Linked DNA regions of Arabidopsis thaliana. The protein of the gene in region 3 interacts with the protein of the main gene of each other region in a pairwise test. Each region holds a gene or a part of one and is shown on either strand. Other genes may lie near its edges. The genes, in order: AT4G23670, TGA10 and CPL3.

Region 1 (9,599 bases), about 12 Mb from region 3:
AATCGAATTCCTTAAACAATCAAAGCTTAGAAAGAGAAGAACAACAACAACAACAAAAAAAATCAGATTAACAACCGACCAGAGAGCAACGACGACGCCGGCGAGAAAGAGCACGTCGTCTCGGAGCAAGACTTCTTCTCCAGTAACCCGGATGGATCGTTAATGGGCCTGTAGATTATTATATTTGGGCCGAAACAATTGGGTCAGCAAAAACTTGGGGGATAATGAAGAAACACGTACAGTATGCATTTAGGCTCCAAATTAATTGGCCATATAATTCGAATCAGATAAACTAATCAACCCCTACCTTACTTATTTCTCACTGTTTTTATTTCTACCTTAGTAGTTGAAGAAACACTTTTATTTATCTTTTCGGGACCCAAATTTGATAGGATCGGGCCATTACTCATGAGCGTCAGACACATATTAGCCTTATCAGATTAGTGGGGTAAGGTTTTTTTAATTCGGTAAGAAGCAACAATCAATGTCGGAGAAATTAAAGAATCTGCATGGGCGTGGCGTGATGATATGTGCATATGGAGTCAGTTGCCGATCATATATAACTATTTATAAACTACATATAAAGACTACTAATAGATTTCGATCGTTGTGATGGTTATTCTCCTTTCATCGAAATATTTAGAGATCTTAATTAAGAATCAGAAGATGAAAACAAAAAAAATGATATTAACATTTTAGTAAAAATAATAAAATTATCAAGTAAATATATAGACTTATTTCTTAAAGGTTTTTCTGCAATTTTTAAAAACAAGTTCTATAACAATGATATTTTTTATTTTATTTTCTACAACAATGATATATTTCTTAAGTATAAAAAAAAATAACAAAAACAATTTCTGTAGGTAGACTTCTTCATCAATGCAAGGTTAAGCGCATAACAGTCCAATTAAGGTGAAAATGAGATGTATAATATGTGAGTGTGACCAAAGTAATATACGTACTCTTGTTATTTACTTAATTGCTATCTAGAAATTTGCATATACCACACCGACTAATTATAGTATTATACCACTAGATGTTTACTATGATCTACATATATGAAGAAAAAAACAATGAAATATGTAGATAACTGAACGTACTTTATTTAATACTCATTATATCGAAACCGATATATGATGAGCATAACAACATATCACAGCATATTCCAAAACCAAACAGTTACAGAGAATAGAAACTCCACAAGACCCCCTTTATTATATTGATTATCGAAAAGACACCATAATAATACAATATCGATCGAGATAGTGATGACGGTGATGGTTGTGGTTAAGCTTTGTTGACGTGGCCTTCAATGTCAACAACCATTTGCTTGACGAATTTCATGTAGCCGCTTGGTTCGGGAAAGTCATCGTTGCGCTTCTCCCATATCATAGTGATTTTGCAGACGCAGCTATCCTCAGATTTGGGAATAAATTCGTAGATGATATCAAATACTTTGAGATGCTCCATCACGTGACCATCCAGTCCTCTTTTCGTCAATGTTTTATTCTCATCATCTATCTCTCTCTTCTCTTTGAACATCTCCTTCTTTCCATCTTACACACATGTGTTTATTAGTTACAATTTCCAACATCCCACTAGCTAGTTATACCATAAGGATTAATATCTGACTATCATGTTTTTCCGTTTATATTTTTCAAAATTATTCTCAAATATGAAAATACTTTTTACTTTTAAACATATGACTTTCGTTTTCATATGTAAACATAAATGCAAAATATGATTATTATATATGTTTTTGGTCTTATAGAACAAATTCCTTAATTAATGATCATATGTAGTATTTCATATTTGGCAGTAGACCACCAAAACCATAGTTTCGGACGCACATAGGCCGTAAAAGTGATAAATATATAGAGAGAAAGTATAAGTAAATGACTAAATGTATACCATATGTGTAGTCCCAACTCCTGATAGACCCGTGAGAGTCATGTTCGCCTTCGTGAACAACGACATTTTGGATGTGGTGGCCAATGGCGTCAGCGAAGACATGGTTCTCGCTCTTCCAGCTCTTGTAGTGTTTCTCCGCCGATCCTTTCAACGGAACCTCCGTCACGTACGTTCCCGATGTCGCCATTTCTTTCTCTCTCTCTCGTTTTAAAGTTTCTACTTGTTTTCTGATTGATTATACTGAATACTTGTCGTCGCTAGCTCATAGGTTTATATAGGGACCGTGACGGTTAAAAACAAGGTTTCTACCGTTTCTTTAAATCATTTGATAGTGCATACCTAAAATCTTCTCTGTTTCTTTTTTAACTCAAACACTATTTAATGATAGATGTGTGTTGTTTTTTAACTTTTTTGTTGAAGAGCTTTCAATTAAATTGTTATATTTAATGTTGGACCACGTTATTTACGTGGGTAGTTGGCACAGCATCCTTTAGAAGATAATCACGGTTCATGATTCATGCCCCATACATATTAATCGCGAGGAAAAATACGGTATAATAATGCCCCATACATAATGATCGCGAGGACAAATAATGTTGGTATATAATAATATATATGGAAAATCACATTTTTTTACTTTCAAAATTTTACTGGATGGCATTTTAAATTATAAAATAATTTGACTAACACTATAATCAATCACCAAATAATTTTACTAACATTTTAAACTTTAAAATTAGATTTTAAATGAAATTCAAACTAATAAACATACATATATGGGATAGAGATTTGAAGAGAGAATGAGAGATCATGAGACAGGCTCATAAAAAAAAAGTGGAGCCGTTTACTCAATCTCTAGTAATCAGAATAGGTCATTTATGGGCCCATACAATTGGTCTTTTGATCCAAATGGGCCAAGAAAAACTTGGAGTCTAATTAAGAAATACATACGTCCTCTCTGTTAACGCTTTAATTAGTATCCAAATTAATTAGCCATAGAATTGGAAGCAGATAAACAAACCCTAATTTACTTATCTTCTGGGAAAAAACTACTGTTTTTACACTACAAAAAAACAATTTAAAACATGCAAAAAAAAAGAAAAATAATTTTTATAACTCAGGAAGTTCTAATTCTAAGCTCATAGTTTGTCTTCAGACTCGGAACCAGCCGTTGATAATGCTTATATGGGACATTAATCATGCTCTCTTATACTTCTAAGACTCTATTTAGAAGGATAAAGTTAACGTCTTTTAAAATAAGCTTTATTACTAGTTGAAAGAAACACTCTTTTATTTTTCTTTTCAGGATTCCAAATTTGTTAGGATCGGCAATAACTCATGAGGGTGAGACACATATTAATTAGCCTTATCGGATTAGTGGGGTCAAGTATTTGAATTCGGTAAGAAGCAAGCAATAATAGATCTCGAATGCATCAGAGTAGTTGCATTTTCCGTAAAACAAATAAACTCATCTGCATGGTCCAGGGATCCTGTAACATCAATCATTGAACGCATATATACGTTACAATTTTATAATGATGAAACTGCAAAGTCCGATTTTGGGTGATCTCTCTGGTGGTACCACGTTTATGGTCGTCAACTCAAAATTTTACAATCAGGCACATTTACAACATAATTTATACAATTATACTAGATCAAGCGGGGTACTTAATTTGTTATGTAGTGAAAACTTTGTAGTTCTATGTTTTACAATTTTTAGTGAATTTTGTAAAATTTTATGTTTCATAAACATGTATAAATAAATATATAAATATTTATAGATGCCGTTTCTTATGGTTCGTTTCCTCCATGTTTAGGAATTTTAAATATCAGAATATATTATTAGAAAAAAACAAGCAAATATTTTGCATAAACGATGCACTTGTCATTTTTTTTCAATACGAAGGCCTTTATTTTGAGAGAAAAATGGAAAACTTATTAAATCGATAGATTATTTAGGGTCTTTCGGCAATTTGTAATATCAGAATTCTATCACAATGAAATTGTGTAGACAATTCGTCATCAAGATTAGGGGCATAACAGTTCAATTGAGGTGAAAAACAAATTGCGGGAAAAATTAAAAAATTACGGGATAGGTCTTATTTTGGAACAAGATTATGTGTCAAATGGATTTGAATCAATATTTATAAAATTTTAAAATAATATTAACATACCGTTTTAATACATGTTAAATCCTAAGTATATTAACAATTGTTTCGTGGAATTCTGATATACATTACTTAATAAAAATTAAAAACTATAAATATAAATATTTTATAAATATATATAATTTACAAACTTTTATAGAAACTAACTTTAATAATAAATTATTCTGCAGTGAATCGCGGGTTAAAATTTAGTATATACATGAGTATGACTGGTTCCTAGAAAATTAAGGCCAAAATAGTAAAATATTTTTTTAAAGTTATCATAAACACTTTTAAATTTTGGGGGTCTTTTTCATAAAAATATCTTTTTCGGAGATCTATTTGAAATAATTCTCTTTTGGAAAATTTTGGAGTCCACATACATTTGTTTCTCCCGGCTTCCCTCATGGCCGCCCTGTACGTGAGTATGACCATAATATACGTACTCGTGTTATTTACTTAACTGTTATTCAGAATTTTGCCTAGTCCACCTATACTAGATCGTTAACTAACACCATTAGATGTTTAGTAATCCGTATATGAAAAGTCATAAATTATAGATAAACACTGAAAATCTGAAATGTGTAGTAAATTAATCTTAAGAATCATTATATCGAACCCGACATATGATCATGAACATAACAATATATCGAAGCATCATACAGAACCAAACGGTTTACACATAGAAATTAACGATCCACAAGACCCCATTTATTATACTGAAAACATCATAACTTATAAATCGAGATAGTGATGATGATGATGATGATGATGACGACGACGACTGTGGGAATGATGATTAAGTTTTGCTAACGTGGTTTCCCATGTCAGCAACCAAGCTCTTGACGAATTTCATGTACCCGCTTGGTTCTGGGGAATCATCGTTGCGCTTCTCCCATATTAAAGTGATTTTGCCGATGCAGGTATCCTCAGATTTGGGAATGAATTGGTAGACGACGTCGTACACTTTGAGCTGCTCCATCACGTGACCCTCAAGTCCTCTTAACGTCAACGTTTTGGTCTCATCGTCTATCTCTCTTCTCTCCTTGAACACCTCCTCCTTTCCATCTTTACACACACATGTTCATTGGTTCAAATCTAAACCTTAGGAGAGATATATTCACAATAATACGTTCTTTAAGACTGTAACTAGACCAAGACCAAACCAATCATGCCATAGAAAACAAAACTAGACCAACCAATCTAGATTGTATATTAACTAATGAACTCGATTGTTTGCTAATTTTTGCGTTTTTTCGTGTTTAATGTACGCAAACACAATCATGTGTTCCAGTGTTTACGTTTACCATTTTCAAAGATCTTCCTAAAAATGAAAAAACTTTACTAATAGAATATCTGACCCTCGTTTTCTTATGTAAAACATATATGAAAATTGAAATAGTCAAGACCTATATATTATGAATAGTTTTAGATGTATTCTTGCGCCTACTTCTGACAATATGGTGCAACTATTTAATTAACCATCATAATTCATATTTGGCTATATACTACGAAAACCCTAGTTTCACACATACACCATAATATTGTGTATAGATATATATAGTGTTAAATAATATGTTGATATATATAGAGAAAGTATAAGTAATTGTATACCCCATGTGTAGTTCCAACTCCTGATAGACCCGTGAGAGTCATGTTCGCCTTCGTGAACGGTAACATTTTGGATGTGGTGGCCGATAGCATCAGGGAAGACATGGTTCTCGTTCTTCCACCTCTTGTAGTATTTCTCGGCCGATCCTTTTAGCGGAACTTCCGTCACGTACGTTCCCGACGTCGCCATTTTTGCTCTCTCCCTCTCGTTTTAAAGCTTCCACTTGTTTTTTATGTTTTGTTTTGGTTGATGAGATACCACTTGTCGTCGCCGTGGTTTATATAGTGAATCTGACAGTTAAAAACATAGTTTTTACCGTTTCTTTTTATCATTTGATAGTGCATGCTAGAATCTTCTTTTCTTCATCTTTTTTAACGTACGTATTATTTAATGGGCACTGATGGGTCATCAACTCGTCATAAAAATGTGTACTTTAATTGGTAGGCTGATTTTCGACCACCACGTTATTAATGTGGGTAGTTGCCACAACATCCTTTAGAAGATAATTATGACATAAAAATATATTTTTACCAAGAAATGGAAGAAATTTTCTATGATTGTTTACCATTTTTGATTTCATACGAGACTTTGAATTTTTTTTAAAAATTATATAAATAGAATGAGATCCATTTCATAGCATGGTGATGCATTTAGTAGTTCGGATTTGGTTTGAAATGATTGGCCGAACTACGTTTATGATTTGGTCTGTCAAACCATAACAATTTTCGAGACCTAAAATAATGTAAAAGGGTGGAAATCTATTGCCCATACTATCTTTGAGATTTATTTTAATTATGTTATTGGGATTGGAAAATGACAATTTTGTGTCTAGAGTATAGTCCGTAGTTATTATATAGTTTGGTATTGATTTCCTTTATATTTTAATATTGGTATATCGAGTATGGACCATTCATCGATCATTGTTGACATAATTGCATCTTATAAGATGAATACAATCAAGTTACGACACCGAATGAGAGCTTTATGAACAATCGAATCATATATTAACATCGAGTTAACATGTTTTAATTTACCATATATATTTTAATTAAGAATCTCCTAATTTGTTATATTTTCTCGGAATATACATTAGTAACAAAATGGTTTGGTCTTTATCATAAGTACAAACTTTGACATTGTATTTGTTTACTATATGCGAAAGCTAATCAATGTTTATCTGATACTTAAGCTTTCACTTATCTTGAAACCATACCATTTCTGTTCAAAGCGTTGATATCCCCACACTATATCTGCCCTTGCCGTTGGGCCATTATACTATGAATCCATAAAATCAAGAGAACCCCTTCAAAATTCATATAGAGATTACGAATTCCCTTAAATTCATAGCCCATACCCCAAATAGAGAAAGACAAAAAAAATAACGGATTATACACAATTCCACTGACCAGTTGAAAAAAAGTTAGCAACCACTTTCGGCAAGATGGATCATTAATGGACCTATATATTATTCTACTTGGTCCAGCTTAGATCGGCCTGATAAAATGGGATTGCAAGTACTTGGGATCTAATGAAGAAGAAACATATATATCTTCTTATCTAATGAAGAAGAGACATCCCAAAAATATATTTCTTTGACAGAAATAATTGACTATTGATAAACAAAAAGACAACACCAAATAAAAAGGCCACAAAAAAAAACACTACTTATTAGTAACACATTATCTCTGTGTACATACCAATTTTCAAACAAAACAAATATTATTCGCTAGTTAGTAACATTCATAGAGCTTAATATCCATCTTAACTCGGAAATACTTATCCCCTTGAAATAAATCACATAATAATTATAGATAAACAAAAAGACAACAGCAAAAGAAAAGGCAAAAAAAAAACTTAATTATTGTAAACACATTTCTCTGTGTCAACATAAAATTTTCAAACAAAACACACATTCTTAGCTACTTAGTAACATTCATAGAGCTTAATATCCATCTTAACTCGGAAATACTTAGCCCCTTGAAATAAATCAGTCACGAAGGTAGCGATCCCACGAGCCATGAAGAAGTCACCTGTCCCACCAACGACCGATAGATCTCTTGTTGGCTCCATCATCAAATCAGCACCCATTATGTTCAATGTCCCTTTGTGTTCCGTTGAGTTAAACACCAACGTGTAGGAAAACCACGAATTGAAGTCCATCTTCATGTCATAGAAATAGAAGCCTTGTGCGCGAGCCACGGGTTTTGAGAGATAGTTCTTGTCCATTGTTATGGGCCCATCAAAGATCACAAACTTACCGAACTTGAAGTTTCCTAGTCCTGGAGGGCTCACGATGGCGGCGGAGGTTGCGTTTGCTACATTGTCGCCATCGTAGAGGATGTCATGGAAATAGAACGAGAAGTGTTTGCAGGGTTTTTTCTGGTCGATTGTTTTTCGGAAAGATAAGACGGTATCGGAGAAGAGTAAAACTAATAAGAAGAATGAGAAGAGGGCTTTGAAGAGTTGTTTCTCTACTAGAAATGCCATGGTTAGCTAGAGATTAGTGAGTTGTGAGATGTGTTTAATGAAGGAGGCTTAAACCCATTTATATAGAAGTATTATTCACTTGTTTTAATAAATAATTTATTTGGATAATCGTTTTCAAAGTTTGAGGGACATATCTAATGGGTTGTTGATGTTTTGCCGATTTATATTTAAGATATAAATTAGAAAGATCATAAGGTTTAACGACCATGCGGAAGCGGGGTTGGTGGTAACTAAGCTACAACCTAATTTCACTTTCTTGATAGATTTAATATTTTTTGACAGGAAAAAGATATATATATATATATATATAATGATTTGAAACTATTATTAAACGGTATGGTGAGTCCAACCTAAAAGCATAAAGTCGAAGGCTAGCTAGCTAATGTAACAGCAAGTGTATACTAATTATCTGAAAAATAAATTTAAACAAAACGTCAAACGAAAGTGTTACGCAGAAATGGAAAAAAAGACCAATTATTAAAAGACCATTTTGGAAATATTGCTTTGAGACCGCCCATCATTCATGTGCGGTCCATATGGCTAAAATTAGGTAACTTGTAAAACAAATCACCAAATCACGTTCTAGCTTTGCTTCTAAGATTGCTACTAATCAACGATTTTCTTGAAATCACGTTCTATTTATTCGTAATTATTCGGACTAACGGATATTGAAAAATCAACTCCAGATTTAAACAAGATGGACAATTGATGAAACAATGTGGGAATAAAGATGTTGAATTGATATGATACGAATTTTACATAGAAAGCCAAATTTTGAAACTTCAACTACGGTAGATCTCGTCAGGAGGACATGATCACGATTCATGAAGATGTTTATATAAAGTTAATATTGATAATGTATTTTATGTATATAGATGTTATAATTATACAAGGGCATGCTCGTGTACTAGAACAATTATTCCCCTCTGCCGCTTTACTTTCAGTGTAAGACTAACATATAAAAAAACATTATCGGCGAAACTTTATAATCAATTGAGAAAAAATCATTTAAGAAAGCGTCCTAATTTTCTTTCAATACGACTCTTTTTCAATCAAACAAAAGAAAAAAAATCGTCCAATTTTTCTCATATATATTTTAAAAGCCGTATAAGTCAATAATATTTGTCACTAACTCCTTCCTAATACATGAGTAAAAGCATAAACGTCGAAAAGTCAAACAAGAGGATTTGATTAAAAAGAAGAAAAAAAGAGTTCAAATGGGTTTAGTTGCCTAACTAGTAACTACCCTTTTGTTCCTTTGATTTCAGAGCAGACCCATGTGAAAAGTAAACAGCTTCTAAACCAATTATGTTATTTACAAACTTCACAACGATCTAACTATCTTGAAAATTAGAAAAAGAAAAGAGAAAAACTGCTTTGAAACCATGAACCCCAAAGATACTAAAAATCTGAACTAAAGCTCTGTAAAGTCCTTTGAAAAT
Region 2 (13,464 bases), on a different chromosome or scaffold from region 3:
TGCCTGATGGTCAGGTATATCTCTCTTCTCTCTCTTCAAACATTCAAAATTGGGAATTTTATTATTTGTGTCTCATCCATTGATGTTTTGTTAAAACAGTTTGCCGTCGTCAGAAACATCCCAATGTCTTCGCTATCTTTACATGAAGAGGAACAGTTTACTGAAGTGCTTCAGACAGCCTCCAAACTAAGACACCCAAACATTGTTACACTTCTCGGTTTCTGCATTGAGAATGGAGAGCATCTTCTTGTCTATGAGTATGTTGGCCATTTGTCGTTGTACAATGCTATGCATGATGAGGTATACAAGCCACTTTCTTGGGGCTTGCGTCTCCGCATTGCTATTGGAGTTGCCCGAGCTCTGGAGTAAGTATTCTATCTTCTCAAACTAGTGGTAGTAGCTATTCCCTACCCTTGCAGTTATTTATTTTGACTCTTCCCTATCTGGTGAATCAAAAACTTTCAGCTATTTGCACTCGTCGTTTTGCCCTCCTATAGCCCATAGCGATCTGAAAGCAACAAACATCTTACTAGACGAAGAACTTACACCTCGTATTGCTGACTGTGGGCTTGCTAGTTTAAGGCCACTTACAAGCAACAGTGTTAAACTTCGGGTAAGTAAGACAGCATCTGATGTGTCACCTAATTCTTTGACTCAGAGAGACCTAATGAGTTGTGATTTAGAGCAGGCTTCAGAAATAGCGATACAAAACACTGGCTACATAGCACCAGAACATGGACAACCAGGAAGCAGTGGCACAAAGAGTGACACTTATGCACTGGGAGTGCTACTCTTAGAACTGTTAACAGGAAGGAAAGCATTTGACAGGTACACAAGCGTTTCACATAATAATATAATCATTGATGCCTAAGCTAAGCTAATCATGACCCTTTTCTGATGGATGTTTTGCAGCTCACGACCCCGAGGAGAACAGCTACTGGTGAAATGGGCATCAACCAGACTTCATGACAGGCGAAGCTTAGAACAGATGATTGATGGAGGCATAGCCGGCACATTCTCCTCAAGAGTCGCCTCACAATACGCAGACATTATCTCCCTATGCACTCAGGTATTGTCATTAGAGTTTCTTCACTCAGGATCATTACATTAACTAACCATTCTTTCATAAGCAGGCAGAGAAGGAGTTCAGACCACCGGTTTCAGAAATAGTGGAAGCCCTCACTGCGCTGATACAGAAACAGAACAAGGAAGCAAGCAGTAGTGTAGCAGACAAGACCGACCCTTTTAGTAAATCTTTCTGCTCAACACGCACACGCTTCATCTCCTCACCTACCTTCAGCTACCTCTCCTCTTGAACATTTTCTGTATCTCTACTTCATGCACATATACTTTACTGTGAAAAGAATAGTTCTTAGCATATGATGATATACACGTATTAGTCTTGGTAAAAAGGAAGTTTCTTGGTATATAATAGAAATACAAAAGAGTTTGAAACAAGGCAAAATCCTAAAGCAAGAAACAGGGTCACTTGGTGTACTGAAACTAAGTTTTCTAGCAAATCCCAAAGATCAAACTAAGCAGAAACCCCAGCGTTCAACAATGTATTGATCTCTCCTCTTATATTCACAGGTCTTCCATCAAACATGGAAGAGAGACTTGTCTCACATAGCTCCTTGAGTTCTCTTGTTTTCGAAAGTGCAGCTTCCTGTATTCAATACCAAAATCAATAAACAGAATTTGTTAGATAATAGCCCCTTCCAATTCCAAATTTCTGATAATCCACAGTTTAGCCAAAACAAGCTTTTTAAGAACATGAGGTTACCTGTTTTGGCCATATAGCAGAAAGTGAATTCTGCAGCTCCATGCGTCTTCTACCCACATCTTTCAAGCTCTCTCTTAACTTCACTTCACGGTGCTTCTTCTCCTCCAGCTCTGAAACAAGCCTATCTAGGAATCTGTTCGACAAACAAATACATATATCAGAAGCTGTGGTACTCACTGTGATCCCCTGGCAGAGATTCTTTATCCTAACGCACCTTTTGGAGTTGAGGATCATGATCAGATCCCGAGATTTCTTGTTTGTTAGCAATGAAATGGCCATGGAGATGTCAACCACCATTGGCTCTATGGTTTCAGGAGAATACTGCTGAAGAACCATGGGGGAGACTGCTTGCACGTGGTGTTGCAAGGACAGCGTATCTTCATTTCTCAGTTCTATCAAACGCTGGTTCAAAAATGCCTTGACCTGACACAAGAGAAACGACATCAACTCAAGAAGCATATCCAGGATTAAACTGAGAATTAGATAGTTAGTGATAAGAGTACCTCATACAAATCATCAAGGATCTTATTCCTATATTCTGTCTCCAACAGCTGGCTCCTCTCTCCTCCACTCCCTAAGACTTGAGTTGTAGAATCTGTCAACTGTGTCTGGTTTGATTCTAGCAAAGCTGAATCACCTATTTCTTCTACCTGAGGTGTTTCAACACTTACATCCCAAGAAATCTCAGAAACATCAACCTCAAGGCCTTGGCTTTCTTCCACTTTAAATGGAGAATTCTCAGGAATATCGCTGGCATTGACAATTTCATATGAACCTAGATCATTTCCACTATCAACTTCTTCTACCATACTAACATCCCAATCTATCTCAGGAGTCTCAACCGTAATATCCCAATCAATGCTGTCTGCAGCCGCATCTGTACCATTTGCATTCTCAGATGACTGAATATTATCAGCATCGAGACCTTCAGAGTCCCCAAAAACGCTTAATGATGGAGGGTTTTCACGAATGTATTTCAGGTTTTGTAAGACAATCCTCAAAGGCTTCTGCAGACAGATCAGAAGCCGGTCAATTCAATCTCCAGGAAACAAGGACCAAAATTTTAAAGAGAAAGAGATTGAAGTTAAACAGTGATCTTACATCTTTCTCAGTATGAACATCTTGAACATAGGCAGAGTAGTACTCCATTGCCCCTGTTACTGAGTCACTGTTGATAACTTCCAGAATCTTGCTAAAGGTACTAGGAAGCGAACTCGCAGTCTCCAAAAGCTCACGCCTCACATTGTTTCCCTGATATCTTAAATGTTTAAACTTTATATGATCCTTTTAAAAAACATATAGATGAAAATCAACCAAGTTTACAAGTAAACCTGCAATCCAAGCTCTCGGCAAGCATCCTCGTATTTTGTTGCTGAGAGTGCAACGCTCCTTTTGATATCAGCTTCTTTACGATCAAGTTCTGTCATTTGTTGCTGAACCTTTTGCACTTGCTTTTTCAGATAAGGGCTTCATGTTTTGCAAAAAGAAAACATATTAGGGAGATCAGAAATGCCAAAGTAGAGAGACTATAGGTAAAATCAAGTAGAAGCCAACTTACATTTCGTAATTAACATTCTGAATTATTATCTGAGCTGCCTCCCCAAGATAAATGTGATCTTTTTCAAACGCACGAACAATTGCTTCCCAAACACCCTAAAAGAGCATTATACAGCTGAGACAATGAACACAAACAAAAGTGCGAAACAGAGAGACAGTTTTCCTTACAGAAGCACCCGAAAGTCGACCAAAGATGTTGCGGCTTTCCGGAGTTGTCTTCAGGAGAATCTCATACACCTTTTTGACCTCCAAGTAACCGATCACTGGAAGCAAAACAACATTAAACTTGAATGAGAATACAACCAAGTAAGGCCCTCCTCCTAATCAATCATCAGACATAACCAAACAACAAACAAGCTTACGGTGTTCACAAAGATGCCAATAAAATCTCTTTGGCATTTTCAAACAAAATACTAACACTTTAAGTTATAAATGAGAGCAGTGAACCAAAACGCAATTTAAGACGAATTCGTTTTGAAGGTTTGAAAATTCGCCAAACTGATAAAAGAACAAAATTTGAAGAATTTAAAACCTTCAGGATCTAGGGTTTGAAAGAATGGATCGATCTCTTTAGGCAAAGAAGAGAACTCTTTTAAGATTTTGACTCTGATCACAGCAACCCTCTTCCTCCAATCCGCCGGAATTCTCTTCCGATCCACCAACCATTCTTCAAATTCAACAAAATTGAAATCAAATGAAGACAATAATCACCAACGCAGATTCGAATCCAACGAAGAAAACGAAAAAAAAAAACCAAAGAGATATAAAAATTTAAAATTCCGTGTACTCGTAATTGATAGTTCTGCATTACCTCCGAGACGAGAGAAGGTGATATCGATTGGAAGATTTTGAACATCATCTTGTGACGGCATTTTCTTCCGGTTAACCTTTCACGCTTTCTGGGAAATTTTATCTCCGAAGTCTCACACAGTTTAACGTTTTGGAGTCTCAAGAGTTTGCTACAGAAGAACGCATAATTTCATTGGTCTCATCAAATATCTCGAATCCGGTTATTGAACTAACCGAACCAATTTACTCCGGTCCGCGGCAGATTAAATTGTTTATTGGTTTTATATGGGTTGGTTGGATGGTCCATTACCGCGGTTAACATAAACTGGTCTATCTAGTAACGTCGGTTTTACCTTTACGGATTAGTCTACAGATTTTAAACTTTTTTTTCTTTACAAGTTAAAACTATTTTGAGGAAATTATTTGTATGAATATTTTGTGAATGATGGGAAAGAAATCAAAATTAGTTTACCAGCTCAATTTGATCAAACCAATTAGCTTAACAAAAACAAAACCTAGACCATATTAGTGCCCATTCAAACAAAGTACAATGGAACAGTTAGAGATACAAACAAAATTCAATCAATATATTTGACAATCTAAGTTCATAAATCACATAATAATGACTTTTAACTTGTTTCATATAATGTCTAGTGTTTATAGATTGAATGTAAGAGCGGTTAATGGATCATTAAAAATCGAATAAAAAATCTTATAATAATAATATAGATGATGGAATTGAAAAGTATATCTTAAAGTAAAAATCTAATAGCTGAATAATATATATAGGAGAAATATAATAATAATAATTTAGAGAACAAACAAAAAATATTTATACAAGTTTGTTATCAGCAATGTGACTAGAGAGAAGGAAGAAGAAGAGAGAGGGGATGGAAAAGGACATGTTCTTGACCGCTTTATCAGAATATTTTTCTTGGTTTCATACAAAAATAAAAACAAAGTCGTCTTCTAATATTTTAAGGTAGAAGAAACTTATACAACAAAAATATCAGAAAATAAAAAGGAGTTTGTCTTTAGGTTCTTCTCTCCAATCTCTATTTTTCTCTCCAATATCCTTCTTAAGTTTTTGAACCCTCTCCACTTCAATATAACCGACCTCTCTTCTCTCTTCTGAAAAAAACACCAAAGGAGCTTTAAATGCTCCGTTACATAATCTCTATCTCTTTCCAAGAATATAGAGAAAGGAAAATAATATACAAGAATTAAAAGAAGGTATATCATCATCTCTCTAGCTAGTGATCAAAGCACCGTCATCATCATCATATATCATCAGCTTGCCTCAGAGGAGAAGACCAACATAAGAGAGATCGAAGATCAAAATCTATCTCTCTTCATCATCTTCTGCTGTTACTATCATATCACACGCTCTCTCAAACATCATCCTATATATAGACTTCTCTTCATCATCATCAAATGCAAGGTCATCACCAGAATCATCATCAACACTTATCATCATCCTCCGCCACGTCTTCCCATGGAAACTTCATGTAATTTTTACTCACTTAATAACTTTTTGAATTGATTGATGATCCCCATGTTTTTAATAAGAGAGCTTTAATTTATGTGTGCAGGAACAAAGATGGGTATGATATTGGAGAGATAGACCCATCACTCTTCCTCTATCTTGATGGACAAGGACATCATGATCCTCCATCAACTGCTCCTTCTCCTTTACATCATCATCACACAACTCGTATGCACTCTCTCTCTCTCTCTTTTCTTTCTTTTTTGGGAATTGGGGTTTGTTTTTTTGGTTTCAGCAGATAAGGAAGATTCCCTTTAGGTGTGTGAGAGAGAGAGAGAGTCACAGCAAAAGCATGCCAAACAGATTTCAATCTTTCTTCTGCCATCAGTACTCTATTCTTTCAGCTTTGACCAGATCCTCTCTCTTTTCAGACACCAAATCTTTCAAATCCATATATCTTACACTTCTTTAAACCCTTTTCTCTCTCTGTCCTTTTTCTTCTAATTAGAAGAACTAGTCCGCTCACATATTTATATACATGACTTGTTATAACTAGACCATTTCTCATACATATGGTCACATGACTCATCTTATGGCAGAGAATTTGGCGATGAGACCTCCAACATCGACGCTCAACATCTTTCCATCTCAGCCTATGCACATAGAGCCACCTCCTTCTTCTACACACAATGTAATAATTATTACTATTACTTTATAAATTTCTATATATATATGCCAATTTTAGTTGGTTTCTGTTTCTAATTTAATATAATGTCAGCGCAACTACTAGCCATTTCATATAATATCAAGTCAGACCAATTATTATACGTTTCTTATTTTTCTATTGAGTAGTGATTTGATTGTTTTTTGGTTGTTTTATATAATGTGTTTGGTAAGACCGATAATACAAGATTAGTTCCGGCTGCTCAACCTAGTGGTTCCACTCGACCAGCTTCTGACCCGTCCATGGACTTGACCAATCATTCTCAGTTTCATCAACCTCCTCAAGGTTCTAAATCCATCAAGGTCTCTATCCATTTATGTTTTTTTAATCATTTAATTGCTTTGTCGAACTATAACTCGAGTATAGATATAGACTTGTTGTGGTTGTTTTTAGAAGTTAATGGGTCATATCTAAATGTTATGGCAGAAGGAAGGGAACCGCAAGGGTCTTGCCTCATCGGACCATGACATACCTAAATCGTCAGACCCTAAAGTGAGTGTATATTCATACAACTGCAGAAAATTAATAAGATTCTTTTTTTTTTTTTTTTTTTTACTTTTCGGTTTTTGATAGTTTCTTTATTAATTTAATTCTCAACAGACATTGAGAAGACTAGCACAAAACAGAGAAGCAGCAAGAAAAAGCAGATTACGTAAAAAGGTCAGCATTCAATATTTGTAAGTTGCAAATATAGTTTTTATATCCAAATTTATTTATAACGTTATTTGCTTTGGTAAATTACGACAGGCTTATGTTCAGCAACTCGAGTCATGTAGGATCAAACTGACCCAACTAGAACAAGAGATTCAACGGGCCAGATCCCAAGTAAATATTTGAACCTGTCTTTTCATATATATTGTATTTAACCTAAAGTCTAAAATGTACCAATTTAATTTGATTTCCTATATATGTTTAGGGCGTATTCTTTGGAGGGTCTCTTATAGGAGGAGATCAACAGCAAGGTGGACTACCCATTGGCCCTGGCAACATCAGCTCTGGTACGTTAATAGTTTCATAAATGTGATGACTCAAAAACCGTAAAATTTGAAAACCGAGAGAATGAGATATTGAGTAAATGCAATGTGAAGCAGAAGCAGCGGTGTTCGATATGGAATATGCGAGGTGGCTGGAGGAGCAGCAGAGGCTATTAAACGAACTAAGGGTGGCAACACAAGAACACTTGTCCGAGAACGAGCTTAGGATGTTTGTGGACACATGTTTAGCTCATTATGACCATTTGATTAACCTCAAGGCTATGGTCGCTAAGACCGATGTCTTCCACCTCATTTCTGGAGCATGGAAAACTCCAGCTGAACGTTGCTTCTTGTGGATGGGTGGTTTCCGTCCATCGGAGATCATTAAGGTACATCTCGTCTTTTCTTATAGCCATATACATATATTTAGGTTTTTCGAGAGATATTTACTTATTCTATTCGAGCCACATCCCACACAATAATTAGTCATGATGATATTGTAAACTAATCAAATATGGATTAATAAATCTAAATTTTGGAATTTTACTTGAAGACTAATCATTTTAAATTTTATCTTAGAACCTAAAATATTCCAGGATACAATCATTAATACCATCAATTTTGTGGATTACTTGCAGAACATATACTAATAATGACTGAAATTGTGACATTGTTATTATTTATATCGTACATATATGTCCACAGAATATAGTACTTCCAACTTTATTTTATTATTTAGATTTTTTTTTTTAATTTAGTCTTTGATTCTCGTAAAAGAGGTACGATATAGTAATAATAGATAAGACAGACAAGAGATAGACTATATAGTGATATTGTTGGACGAGGTATATATATACATAACATTGCATGGGGTGACTCTAGATGTATAAAACCAACATATATACGTGAATGTCTTTATATTACGACAATAATAAAGGTACACGTAAAATTATTTTGAAAACAAATTAAGAATGCATGCAATTGTGTGTGATGGTGAAGTATCTCTAGAAATAGGTAGGTTTTGGCATAATGCAAAAGAAAGTGCCTGTCTGTTTTTTCGATTTATGGGATCCATAGGAGAGAGAGATAGACATAAACCACCATGGAATTCAACAGAGACGACCATAATAAACAAACCAAAAATAAATAATTGTTTAACATTTTTAGCACGCTCGTCAATTGGATGATTATCATTTTTTTTCTTTTCTAAAATGGTTACGTAAAGCCATTTTAATTAAACCTACTTTTTATTCTAAACAATATGAGTACCTACGATAGCCGATTAATAATACAAATTAATATATGGATGGTGTGCATATCTGACAAGACCTTTGGCAATGTCTCAATCTTATATCCTTTTTAGTGAAAATAAAAAGGAAAGAAGAGATTTTGGGTGTAGCTAGTAACTCGTGCAGAGTACATACACTACACACTTTAATGCATTCAACGTTCTTTATGCATCCATTAAGACCATTGTTAATTAATCCTCGATATCTCAACTTGTGTGTATTAATTAGAAACGCATGCATGCAGGTGATTGTGAACCAGATAGAACCATTGACGGAGCAACAGATAGTTGGGATATGTGGGCTGCAACAGTCCACACAAGAGGCCGAGGAGGCTCTCTCGCAAGGCCTCGAGGCGTTGAATCAATCACTTTCCGATAGCATTGTCTCTGACTCCCTCCCGCCTGCCTCCGCACCACTTCCTCCTCATCTATCCAATTTCATGTCACACATGTCCTTAGCTCTCAACAAGCTCTCTGCTCTCGAGGGCTTCGTTCTCCAGGTACCCTTATAACTCTTTCTTTTTAAGTTTATGTGCAATTATATATCAATATACCAATCTTTTATCTTTATATAAAAATATACCTATAGAGTTGATATACAAGTGGACCCCTAGAGGATATATGTGGTCCTAATCAGACTAGGAATACATATTCTGTTTCTTTGAACTACTCCTTATTAAACTCAACTATCATATACTTATATATTTCTATATTTGGCTGTTATAACACGCTATCTAAATTTATATAGATGTTTGTATATATGTGTGTGTCTGTTTTGTGTACAACTCATATATAGGTATAACGTCGGCCATAATTTGTTAGAGGACATTTGTAATATATTAAGTGTATATAGAATAAAAGTGGTTGATTTTAAAGAAGATGTCAAAACTAATTCGCAAACTTAATAATTATGCATTAACATGTATATGTATATGAAATGGAAAGTATTTGCCTCTTGATTCGGACATTATGCAAGTAGGTATCTAACAAACACTTCTCTTGTCTTATATCAACTTGGTCGGGTTGCTTTTCTTAGACGACCAAGTTTATTAATTTAATATTTATTTCTTAATCATTTACTAGTTTAGGACAGGCAAGTTTTTGAAACAAAGAAATATATATATCTGCTTGTGTATATTAATGTATAAGTCTATACTCTATATGCAAATGGACATTTCGGCTAATTAATTCTATACAAGATACATGCATATACAAGTTGGCATCTTTCAATGATTTCTTAATATAATTAGTTCTAAATTGTTCCTGTTCCGCCTATAAAAAAAGTTTTTGTGTTTCGCTACACGGTTAGTCGCTCACAATTTGGAGAAAGATCCAACTTTAAAATAGGTGGTAAATGTGGGGTTAGTTACTAAAAAGGGGTAATGAATTCAATTTTCTCTAAACGCACGTGACAATTGGCACCATGAAAGTATGTATTAAGTATACATATTCCAATATATGTAGTCCAAAAGAAAAATACATATATTATGTATCTATAATATATCACATCAAATAAAAACATGGAATGCTTGGAGCCCATATCGTTGCATGATGTCATGGACGTAACTGCCCAAGTATCCCATCCTCCGAAAACACTTCCTTGAGAATAATTCCTTTACTTACATTTGATTCTGCATTTTTTTGTCTACTTTTATATCATTGATAATAGGTTGATTATATATGTATGATTCTAATTAATGATCAAAAGTATCATGAAGCATGGCGTGGGACCGAGGGTATGGAATTCACGGTTTCACCTTTTTGACATGTTGGTGTCGTGTTCTTATTAGTGAATTACTAACAAGCTTTGATTTTTTGATCGATCAACATGTTGAATAATCGGCATTAGTCGTCAATCAACCACATAATTTCGGGTCATGCACAATCATTATAATGCTTAATTAGTCCTTTATCTGTTTTTTTCCTCTCTAGTTAGTCTTTAATACTTATATTTATGAGATTAATGATGGTCCAATTCGATTATTTGTCCTTAATTGGTCTTAGTCAATAACATGTGCACTACTTTGTCCATCTTTTGTTTTGCTTTTACTATTTCTCCATTTTCCCTATAACTCTTATTTAGTTTTGAACTAGCTAATACATTAGAAACTTACAGGCGGATAATTTGAGGCACCAAACGATCCATAGGCTGAACCAATTGTTGACGACCCGTCAAGAAGCACGGTGTCTTCTAGCCGTTGCGGAGTACTTCCACCGTCTTCAAGCTCTAAGTTCTCTCTGGCTAGCCCGTCCTCGGCAAGATGGATAATACTAAAACAACTGATGAAGGAAACCAAAAACAAAAACAAGAGAATAGGTTGATTAGTTAGCCGCCAGCTTGACCTCTTTATCATATATATCGTCTCTCTACTCAAATACAGTGCAATTAGGGAAAATTGTTTGGCTTCTTTTTGTTATATGATTCTTACTATTATGTTTTTAATCAAGATGCAGATTATATATATAGACAAGTATTCCATACCTTTTAATGAATTCTTCCTTATGCAAATTCAAGTGAAAAATTATACTTGATCTTCAATTCCAAACACAAGAACATGAGAGAGTATTGAAAGGAAACAAAAATAGAAGGCTGGCAACAATTGCAGTTGCATGCAAGACTTATCACTTGTTAGGTCAAATTAAAGCATTGACCAGTGAGGAAGGTGACAAATGGTGAGTTCTGTAGGATACCGTCAGGGACTTGGGATCAGTACCGTTTTGCTTTGGGTTCAACGCCCTTCTCTCTCTCCTTTACTTTTCATTTCTTTGCTGTCACCAGTTAATTTTTTTCAACTCTTCTATTTTTATTTCTTGACTGATAAAAGTGAACATTACAGTAGTACACATGCATGGTCAAATCAAAACAACAAAAATCTTTTTACATCACAAAAAACGAGATTGATTTAGCCGCAAATATTTGAAAAAAAATAGTTTCTAAGTACATACACTAGCAATCAGATTATACATGTGTTTATTCTTGGACTACAAATTCGTTTGGGCCGTAAATTTTTGGGCCCTAAAGTTTTCTATTGAATTTTATTTCTTTTTAAGAGAAGGAAAAAACGTACAAACAAAACATTATAACTAAAGCCCACTACTTTTGGGTTTTAGAGTAAACCCAACAACACAGTACATGATAAGAATAGAAGCAAACAGAACAAAATAATAAAACAGAGCAGATAAACACACGAACACAAGAAACACAAGTTACGAGCAGAGAAGACCTAAAAGCCACAAAGAAGTTTTACAATTCAAAGCATACAATCTGCTTTTGAAGGTAATTTCCTGAAGAAGTTACTTGGAGCAGAAGGCATCTTGCTTCTGAACTTAGGATGCCTCATCCAGAACATCCCACCCGCAAGAGCTATGATCTTGAAAGGCGTCACGTACAAAATCATCGCAGCAACAAGACAAAAAATCACAAACAAGCAAGTCGCACGCGGATCTCTCCAACTCAACAAAGCCTGAAACCTCTCTCCTTGCGTTGCAATGTCTCCAACAACCATCTGGATCCGACCCGCAACGCTTCTTAACCTATCATACCTCATCTTCACAACATCTTGTCCCTTTGAAGTTGGGAAAGTATCAAATTCCTCATCTAGCTCATCAGGGCTAGCCGCTTCAGCCCAAGATACCTTTGTGTCCATATGAGCAGGATGACGCGGCCTGAACCGGAAATTCCAAAGCCCTATCAAGAACATGTAGAGGAATGTGGTTGGGAGTATCAGCTCCGGATAACAAATCAATATAAAGAAGAGAACGTGGAATAATATCGTCGTCAACGGATTCTTCCAGTAGCAGACGTCTCCGAGCCATTTACTCATAGCAATCAAGCCTGCAAACACAGACACTATCCTGAAGAAGTTAGCTTTGCTCCTTCTCATGCTCCACATGTGTGAATCAACATCAAGCATGTACTCTACGTTCTCTTTCCTTAAAGGAGGCTCTGCTCGAGATAACCGTGCTGCGACAATGCTCATTGCTTGGTATCTTAGACTGTCTAATTGGTTCACAGTGAATGGATGGAGATAATGCATCTTTGGAAGCAGAGGATGGCCATAAAGATAGATCATGTGAGCCAAGGATAGACAAGTGAATCTCACAGCTAATTGGACTTCTCCCATTTTCTTTAACCCTTTTGTTTGCAGAACAAGAAGAGGGTAGGAGTGAGTGTAGATTCTATCAGCCTCTAGAGTCGACAACCGGATCCTTACCTTCCCGATTCTCGAATCCACTTTGGCTCCACTGTTCGATTTCTCACTTCCGCCAAGGTGACAGTTATCGAAAACTCCCAGTGTGATAACTGTACAAGGATCATACACTTCCCATGTGTATTGCTCATTCCATTTAGGGCTAGAGCTGTCAATGATGGTTCTTGTTCTCACCCATTTTTGACCGTACTTGGCAACACAATACGGATCTGTTGTCGCTTTACCGTCTTTTGTTTTCATAGGCGATAGCCCTTGAGCACTCAAGATTCCTACTTCAAGGATGCCAATAGGAGACTTCCATAGTTGCCTTGCCGTAGGTTTCACGTCACTGATGTACAGAGTTGACTCGTCCATTACATGGTAACCTCCTTCAAGGCAAACTCGTAGGTGGATTCGGCTGGAGAACTTGAGCTCGTGTCTCTTGTCTCCTTCCAGAGCCCCAAACCCAAACTTTTCGAGGTTGTACCATTTGGAATGAACAGCTCTGTGATCTAACCTTTTCTCAAATACGCTCAAAGGTGAGATCAGCCTCCCCATGACTTCATCTTTAGCTGGTGTCACCTTGTTTTCGACCGTCAAGAAGAACTGTTCTTCAAATGGCTCTGCAGCTACAAAAACAAGATCTTCGTTCCACATCGGATTCGTCGTCTTG
Region 3 (8,616 bases):
TTTCTCCCGAACTTAGATGCTACTTTGTGTCGAATCTGAGATAAGTGGACTTTGTTTTGTTTTTCTCCCTTTATACCACCATTGAGTTCAAACAAGAGTCTGTCATCGCGTTAAAGGGGATCAGAAGCTGTGTGAGGGGTGTATTGGACGAAATAAAAGTTGTGGGGAAATTTCCAAATATCTTGTGATTACTGGATCTTGTGGGATAGATCTCTTTCTTTCTCTTATTCTGGATTCCCTATACATAACAAAAAGGTTAAATGGGGTAATGAAAAGTGTGACATATACTTAGCATAAACCAATGTGTAGAATAATCCATGTTTCCTTTATTAAGTGCTATGCGTTAATCGGCATCTATAAAGTGTTGCATTGATGAACAAAGTGGATGCCTAAACTAGACGTTTAACTAAATGTTTAGAATGAAATCTTCATCTCATCTAAAAAGTGTTGCATTGATGTAAAAAGTGGATGCCCATTAGTTCTTGGCTTTGAAATGTTTTTAGAATGAAATCTTCATCAATCTCCATATGTGGTTCAATCCACTCATTTTATCTTTTGTTAAAGATGTTCTTCAGGCCAATATAATGATGACCATGGATGGTTTGCAACTCGCATATAACACTTCTTTATCCGATGGTTACAAGTATTACATGGCTATAGATAGCTTTTGCATGCAACAAATTATCTATCAAAGTTTATGCATCCTCTAAAATATGGTCATTGGCAAGCCACTAAACGTATATATTGTGACAATGTATGATGATATATTTTTATGTGTTGACTCCGTTTTTCATTAAGTAATGAAACATGTTGCTCTAGATTACCATTTTAATCGCAAACATATATGTTGCTCTACCACGCATTGCATCAAATGATAAGCTTGAGGACGCTTCGACAAAAACATATTTCTCCTTCTTCTTACTGAACCAAATGACAATTGACAAACCCCATTAATAAAATCGGTTAGTGTTAATGTGTCACTCATAATATTAACTTAGTAAAGAACAAGACCACATTAATTAAATCAGGTGTTAGTCTGAGAATATACGTTTCTCTTCCTCATTCCAAACTTAAATTCGGAATTTACTGAGAATATATTGTTAGCACTGAAAAAGGTTAAGTTGAAAGTTTGCTAGGGATGGCAATTAAATATAGTCTTGCCTTGGGGATATTCCCTTCGTGGACTTGTAAGTTTATTTATAGGTCCTCTTATGTATATATAGATGATCTAACGATCGATATACTATGAAAAAAGTTGTTACTAGATTTTATTGCAGGTAATAGTGTTGAATAACCCGAACCAATAAAGCAGTTGTAACGAACACACGACACGTTGCTTACTGCGAGGACCACTTTGTTTTTTGTTTTTTTTGGCTTTAAGCCAATTTAGGACCAAATTTGCATGATTGAGGATGCAAGTATCCAACCCATTTTCATCTTTCGTAGTGACACTCATTTACTTTTGTGATGGACACGTTATAGTATATCTTAAATATTAAAGAGACATGATTGGGGGATCATTGTTTTAATTTAAATAATGTAGATTCTATTCTTTTCATGGTATTAATCCAATTTATAGAAAGTTATGTGTTATTAGCAATTAAGCTAAATGATGAAAACAATCAGTTTAGTGAAACAAACTCGCCGAGAAAACATGAATGGTTGAAAATATTATTGTGTTTTACAAACGTACACGAGGACAATAGTTTTGTAAGTTTTTCTTAGGCATTGAAAAATGTTTGATACAAAAAGTAATGTTAAAATAATTAAAAATGATTTTGTCTTAATATATCCAAAATTTCAATCTATTATGAACAAAGGGAGTATAATTTCTGATTGAATGAACTGGAATAGCAATCAGAAAAGCTTTGAAAACAATTGTTGTTGATTATTAATGATCTTAATTAACGGCATGTATCAATATTTATACAACTTATGTTCCAGTCCAAGCCATCACAACGGAGTAAATGAAGTCACGGGTACTTGTGGTTTTTATTGGTTGCAAACTTGCAACTTGCAAAGATAGCTAACAATAATTAATATAATTAATGAGAACAAAACCAATTTAGTAAATTAAAATCCTTTAACATAGAAACCGACCAAACCCGTTGGACCGTTGGTTACTTGATTTGGTTAGTTGCTATAAATAGAAATGATGGTTCGTGTGCAACCTTCAAAATACGACCACTCTCTCAGAGTACTCTCTTAGTTTCTTTCTTCTTCTTCTTTGTAATACGGTGCCGTTTGACATGGATAACCATCGCAGGACTAAGCAACCCAAGACCAACTCCATCGTTACTTCTTCTTCTGAAGGTAAGCTGAAAACTTAAACACCTTCGTTTTCTCATTTTTCCATGTTTTTTTATACTTATCTATATATAATGAGAAATCTGAATTTTGGTGATGACAAGGAACAGAAGTGAGTAGTCTTGAGTGGGAAGTTGTGAACATGAGTCAAGAAGAAGAAGATTTGGTCTCTCGAATGCATAAGCTTGTCGGTGACAGGTTTGATCTTTTAACTAATAATGAATACTATTTCGTAGGAAAATAATTTAATTGTAACACCATAGTAAAAGCTGAATTTTGTGTGTTATTATTTGATGAAAGGTGGGAACTGATAGCTGGGAGGATCCCAGGAAGAACCGCTGGAGAAATTGAGAGGTTTTGGGTCATGAAAAATTGAAAAGTGATCAATATATCTCTATAGTTTCACTGATTGTTTCGATTATATTCCGTTGTATTTTAAATTTACCAACTCTGTTATAAGAAGAAAACTTTCTTAAATCCCAAACCATTTAACTCTCAAGAACCATTTATTGTGTGGGCTACGAATATTTGGGCCTTCCAAGCCTAAATTTATTTTTTTGCCATCCTAGTAATTTCTAGAAGCTAAGTCGTAGATGTTGTACGTGGATATTTCATTAATTTCTGCTTAAAGCCTTAAACACTTGACACATGAAAGTGGCAAATAACCTACTTCAAAACAAAACAAAAGTGGAAGTCGTTTTACAAGTCATAAAATGACATGCTGTCTTCAGGTCCCACACATGTTTTCTGTATATTTGTCGTTAACGCTATTTCACCTACTCCACACACACACACTTATTTTCTTGGTCATCCACGTTTTAGACTTTTAGTTTTTCCTTAATCTCTGATCCATAACCACGAAACGGACGATCTTCAATAAAAACCCATAACGTATCTCATTACCAAACAAACATATTGTTGAAATCTATGTGTCTCACTGATGATCTATATATGTAACTCTTGAGATTGCAACAAATGTTTAGAACTTGAACAAACTGTTATTTTTATAAGCCATATATATATTTAACTATTGACGATAGACAATTGATGATTCTCTTGAACAATATTTAACTATATATGCAACATCTTCTTCTAAGCTGATCTTAATTGCAACATCTTCTACGAATTAATCAAAAGCCAAAAACATATACAAATAAAAGTTGAGACAAACGAAGCAAAGAAAAGTAGAACATACATATACATACAGAAACACATTTGCACAAATCCCACCGTTGATTATACAAATCATATTAGAACATCAAATATTTAGTGGTTGCCATTTTGCTCTAACTCTTTTTTGTGGGCTTTCCACTTTAAGGCCACAAGACTAAGTGCTTTTGTCGAAGTCCCATCATCCTTCAACACCCTACAAGCTGCTTCCTTCAACTCCTTCATCTTGTTCCTCACTCCTTTGCCTTCTTCACCTTCCATCAATCCTTTTACCACTCTAGCCACCTCTTCTCTTCTAACTAACCCATCGTCCCCGGCACGCGGCCTAAGTGCCGCACGAATATCTTCACTCAACAAAACCGCATTCATCTTCTGTTCTGCGTATAATGGCCATGCTATAAGTGGAATACCGCTTACTACACTCTCTAGAGTCGAATTCCATCCACAATGAGTTAAAAATCCTCCCGTGGATGGATGCGCCAAGACTTGGGCTTGTGGAGCCCAAAAAGGGATCACAAAACCTCTTTTTTTAGTCCGCTCTAAAAATCCCGGTGGTAAAAATGTCAATGGATCTGTTTGGCTATGTGAATCAAAATACGACGAATTAGCGATCCCACTAGGACTTCGTATGACCCAAAGAAACCGTTGCTCACTATCTGCAAGACCAAGAGCAAGCTCATTGAGCTGCTCACATGTGAGGGTACCGCCACTACCAAAGGACACATATAAAACCGAACCGAGCGGCTGGTTATCCAACCACTTTAAACATTCAGACTCTTCGGTTTGCTTAGCCTCTTGCTTACCAATGTTAACCAACGGTCCAACCGGATAAACCGGTGGTTTATCAAGACCCGGTTCTTGCAAGGCCTTTATAGCATTTGGCTCTAGCTCAAAGAAGGTATTCACAAGAATACCTTCGGCTTCTTTGTACCTCTTGGTGTTATGGAGAAGCCATTTGTATGCATCGTCTTTCCGGTCTTGGGCCGGGTCAAGGAAATCTTTCCCGGCAACCGGTACACATCCAGGAAGCATAAGCGGTTCGGTTAATTCCCTGAACTCACACGACACCGTTTCGTCTAGTTTAGGCAAATGGAGAAAAAACGACAAGACGTTGGCCGTTGTTGGGTAGAAAATATACGGTGGCACGTGAAATTCTACGGCCACGTCGAAAGCGTCCGTACCGAAGAGATCGACGACGAGCGCCGTTGGCAAACGACCTCCCTCCACGAACGAGTCGAAGACTTTCCGGAGCTCCGGGTTTGAACGAGTCACGGTGAGGGAGATCCGAGATTCGATGCGAGTGGACGAAGAGAGATCGGTGAGATCAACAGGAGGGAGAAAGACGGAGGAGATTGAAGAAGGGAGAGAGTCGAGGACGGTTCTCTGAGCTTTTGATGGTGGACCTTCGCCGGCGATGACGAAGGTAACGGTGAGGCCGTGAAGATGGACGAGTCGTTTAGCAAACTCGACGAGTGGTATGAGATGACCCATTCCCGGACTTGGTATGATCGCAACGTGAGGTGTTTTGGATTCCTCCATTGATGCAAATATTCAAGAACTGATACTTTGTTCTTTTTTCTTCTTTCTACTTTTGTAGTTTGTGATTATTATCTCCTTTTTTCTTTTTTTTTTTGTAATTTGTGTGGTATTAAGTAATGGCTTTATATAGAGAGTTTGTGTGAATCATTGAGAGGAGAAATTCTATTTTCTATTTACTTGTATGTGTTTTTTTTGTAGAATGTCGCTTGTGGCGACCATGTTCGAATATGAATATTTTGGTGACCGATTATTTAAACTAAAAAATCATCATTTACGTAATTCATTTTTATACTTATTATTTTGTGATTTCTCATGTTAATATGAAATCAACCATTTAAATTGTGGACATATTAATACATTTTGATTTTCATGTAGATTTAAAGTAAAGCATTTAACAAGCTGTGTAAAATATATTCATAACTTACATAAAATTGGGAATTATACATAATAATGCTATTATATAATATCCATAATTGAAACCAATATATATATATATATATGTTTATTAAATATGGTTGCCAAAAGAATATATATAAAATTTTCAATTATTGGAGAGGGGTAGGGAAATTGTTGAAAAAAATTAGTGATGACCAGCTTTTTTGTGATTGTGGGTCAATTATATTTGTGCGTGTGAAATGTCTTGAGCGCACGTGTGAATATGTGATGAAATGCAAACGTAATGCTTCCGCAATGATTTTTCTCCCCAATTTTCTTAGCTATAATAAAATAAAATTCTTTCGCTCTTTTTTTTTTTTTTTACCATTAACATTAAATTTTGGAATGGTAATTTGCTATTACATAAAAAATTCTATAAATTAATAATATTGGTACCATAAAATTTTATTAATTTATAGTGATATTAGTTTATCCTATAAATTAATAAATATTTATAAATTTTTTTACGTAAAATACAATATTAAATTCTTTTAAATATGTTTTTTAATTTAATTTTTCTTATATTTTGTTGTTCGTATATTCAATTATGTTAAAAATTATTTTTCTCTTGACTTTTTAATTTATTTTTTTACAAAATATTGTGTCCGTATATTTACGACGTTAACGTGAGGCTTAATCCAATTTTTTTTAACACAAATCTTAGCAATGATTAAAAAATGTTACAAAACCAAATATGACGGATCAAATACGTAAGGAGTTATGTGAGTACAAAAGAGATCATACCAACTGTACTCTAAAAAGAGTTGTAATTGTGGCTTGAATAAAAGTTTTAGATAAAATTAGTATTAGAATGTATGCTTAAGATTTATGATTATTAATTTATGATATTATTAGGATCATATTTTTACATAGGGATTTCAAAAAGATTATTATCTTATTATCTTATCGATTTTGGTTAATTTTTACATTGACCCGACTTGAGACCGACAAAATTTATTAATTTATCGTGTTTATTAATTTATCGAATATTAATTTATAGAGTTTCTACTGTATTATTTTCTTTCATAACAATGTTTTTCTTTTATTTGCAAAACATTTTGCTCTATACAAATTAAAAAATTGACTTCTTGAAATATTTTAGGTCATAGTGGCGACGATAAAAAGGCATATAATCATTCATCGATAGATTAGTTTTTAGCATTTGTTTGAGTGAAGAAAAGTGAAAGTGGAATTTATCTCATAGCCCATCATTTTTGTTATGATTTACAAAATTGAATATATGTCCATGTCCCGCTAAATCATAAAGCCTATTAACTCATTATTATATCTTTGTCAATTCGACTTGTGTTGCATCACCAATTTTTAATGAATAACATTGCCCAGCTAAACTTATTATCACATAAAGGATAGTGTGATAAGTGGTTGGAATTTAATAATTTTGTATGTATTTTTCAGCCAGTTTGAACAAGTATAAGGTAGCATTAAATCAAAGAAAAGCTGTCGCATCAATACAACTTTTAAACAGATATGTTATCATAATTTCATACAGAAATAAATAAATTATTTCCACGAGTAAATAGTTGCTATAGCTACCAAATGTCCAAAGAAATATATACAACCAATACTAAAAAACAAATTACACAATATTGTGAAATCAAATTATTTGTTTTCGATATCTGCCAAATTTGCTGAAGTTACCGAATGTTCATCGTATGGCATATGTCACCAGTGACGACTGTCAATGATTATTGGACGATCCGCACAAGCTACAAAAAACGGTATGACGACTATGTCTGGTAAAGTAGAATGGCACGGTGTTTTTAATTTATTCATTAGCCTCAAATGTTTTATTAATGTCACTGGTAAGAAGGGATCAGGACAATCAAATTATGGTGTAGGTGCCTTTTTACACATGTATGTTTAATCTTTCATGTTCACGGATCTCAGATTTTAGTTATCCTCGATGGGCTACTAGTGAATACTTTGCATATAAATTGATCTCTAACTTACATCTTTTCTGATTTCAAGTTCAGTGCTCACTTGTTGCAAGATGAGTTCTTCGTCCACTTTAGAAATATTATTGATGTCGTTGACTTGGATTACAAGAAAAGAGAGTATTACAAAAAAAATCAAAACAGAGAGACTACATGAACATTAAAGACATGAAACACTAAGCAACACGAGGCAAAGCCGACAACACTATATAATATATATGAACATAAACAAACAGTCATCAATAAAAAGACAAAAGATCAATGTAAACATCCCAATTAACAAGACGAAACTCAACTACAACTGACCTAAGAACAAACGCTCTCATGATGATGATCACAAAAACCATAGGTTTTAATTCATAGGTTTTAAAAAAATGTTTTTCTTTCATTCAAAATGCGCATTTATCTCTATTTTTATAATGATCAACATAATTTTAGTTTGTCGTCCACCTTCCAAGTACATATCGGCTGATCCAAATGTTTGTAGCTGCTCTTGTCGCATGCTTTTATTCTTGACATAGTTTATTCAGCATACTATTACAGTCACTGCTTGCTTCTTGTTATCGATATGGTTGAATTTAGACTAGATTCATGTCCTCGTAGTGGTGCAAAGTTAACTTTCCAAGCCCAAGTCGTTTTTTCAGTTTGTGATCCCTACTTGGTCTCTCCAGTCACATAACAGGTGTAACAAGCTACTGATTAAAGAAAATGCAGAGCATACATTACAAGTTTGTTTTTACATCACAAGTCCTAGTAAGATCATTATTAGCTTTCCACAGAACAACACCTTAAACAAAATTCACACTGCAAAATTTTGCATCGTTTATTCTTGTTTAGAACCATTACAAAATTAAAATATAGAACTATCATATACGAGACATTGACAAGTGGAATGGCTATTGACTGTAACTAGCTACAAGCGATATCGTGGTACATTAACCGGTTAAATCGTATAGTTCCCGTTCCCGGTTAAGCGTGGTTTCCACCATCACATCATTCCATGAATCAATTGGACCAGGTAAGCACCAATGCAGACAATCATTCTGAACATTGCTCTTATTCTTAACTCCAGCAAAAGGATTTGGATGCCGGTATGGTCCCGGATGCCCGTCTGGACGGAGAAGAGACATTCCAGTCGTGTCTAATAGCCTGATGTTGGAACCTAAGCCAAAACCTTTCCCAAATTTCTGAAACACCTCAAGCTCAACAT

Evidence for each region.
Region 1: the proteins of CPL3 (region 3) and AT4G23670 interact in a two-hybrid assay, tested with the Arabidopsis thaliana proteins (one large-scale study listed by BioGRID).
Region 2: the proteins of CPL3 (region 3) and TGA10 interact in a two-hybrid assay, tested with the Arabidopsis thaliana proteins (one large-scale study listed by BioGRID).

Annotation. Positions count from the first base shown.
Region 1 is NC_003075.7:12,331,559-12,341,157, forward strand, and holds AT4G23670 (Polyketide cyclase/dehydrase and lipid transport superfamily protein), read right to left. Parts: upstream 2,347-9,599; 5' UTR 2,099-2,346; coding exon 1,912-2,098; intron 1,557-1,911; coding exon 1,288-1,556; 3' UTR 871-1,287; downstream 1-870. Other genes in the region: AT4G23680 (Polyketide cyclase/dehydrase and lipid transport superfamily protein), read right to left, coding at 4,858-5,126, 5,673-5,859; DIR6 (Disease resistance-responsive (dirigent-like protein) family protein), read right to left, coding at 7,594-8,157.
Region 2 is NC_003076.8:2,115,348-2,128,811, forward strand, and holds TGA10 (bZIP transcription factor family protein), read left to right. Parts: upstream 1-5,124; 5' UTR 5,125-5,563; coding exon 5,564-5,637; intron 5,638-5,721; coding exon 5,722-5,843; intron 5,844-6,214; coding exon 6,215-6,306; intron 6,307-6,512; coding exon 6,513-6,641; intron 6,642-6,765; coding exon 6,766-6,831; intron 6,832-6,939; coding exon 6,940-6,999; intron 7,000-7,086; coding exon 7,087-7,164; intron 7,165-7,255; coding exon 7,256-7,337; intron 7,338-7,427; coding exon of another isoform or gene 7,428-7,430; coding exon 7,431-7,702; intron 7,703-8,846; coding exon 8,847-9,101; intron 9,102-10,717; coding exon 10,718-10,870; 3' UTR 10,871-11,110; downstream 11,111-13,464. Other genes in the region: SRF2 (STRUBBELIG-receptor family 2), read left to right, coding at 1-14, 100-365, 466-613, 689-828, 913-1,069, 1,134-1,316; AT5G06830 (uncharacterized protein), read right to left, coding at 1,535-1,666, 1,784-1,916, 1,998-2,206, 2,287-2,790, 2,885-3,034, 3,115-3,250, 3,342-3,436, 3,509-3,603 and 2 more; FTIP1 (C2 calcium/lipid-binding plant phosphoribosyltransferase family protein), read right to left, coding at 11,853-13,464. UniProt on the Arabidopsis thaliana protein: Together with TGA9, basic leucine-zipper transcription factor required for anther development, probably via the activation of SPL expression in anthers and via the regulation of genes with functions in early and middle tapetal development.
Region 3 is NC_003075.7:458,285-466,900, forward strand, and holds CPL3 (CAPRICE-like MYB3), read left to right. Parts: upstream 1-2,194; 5' UTR 2,195-2,249; coding exon 2,250-2,313; intron 2,314-2,411; coding exon 2,412-2,505; intron 2,506-2,607; coding exon 2,608-2,683; 3' UTR 2,684-2,790; downstream 2,791-8,616. Other genes in the region: GT72B1 (UDP-Glycosyltransferase superfamily protein), read right to left, coding at 3,574-5,016; TBL26 (TRICHOME BIREFRINGENCE-LIKE 26), read right to left, coding at 8,342-8,616. UniProt on the Arabidopsis thaliana protein: MYB-type transcription factor involved in epidermal cell fate specification. Acts as a negative regulator of trichome development, including endoreplication, by mediating lateral inhibition.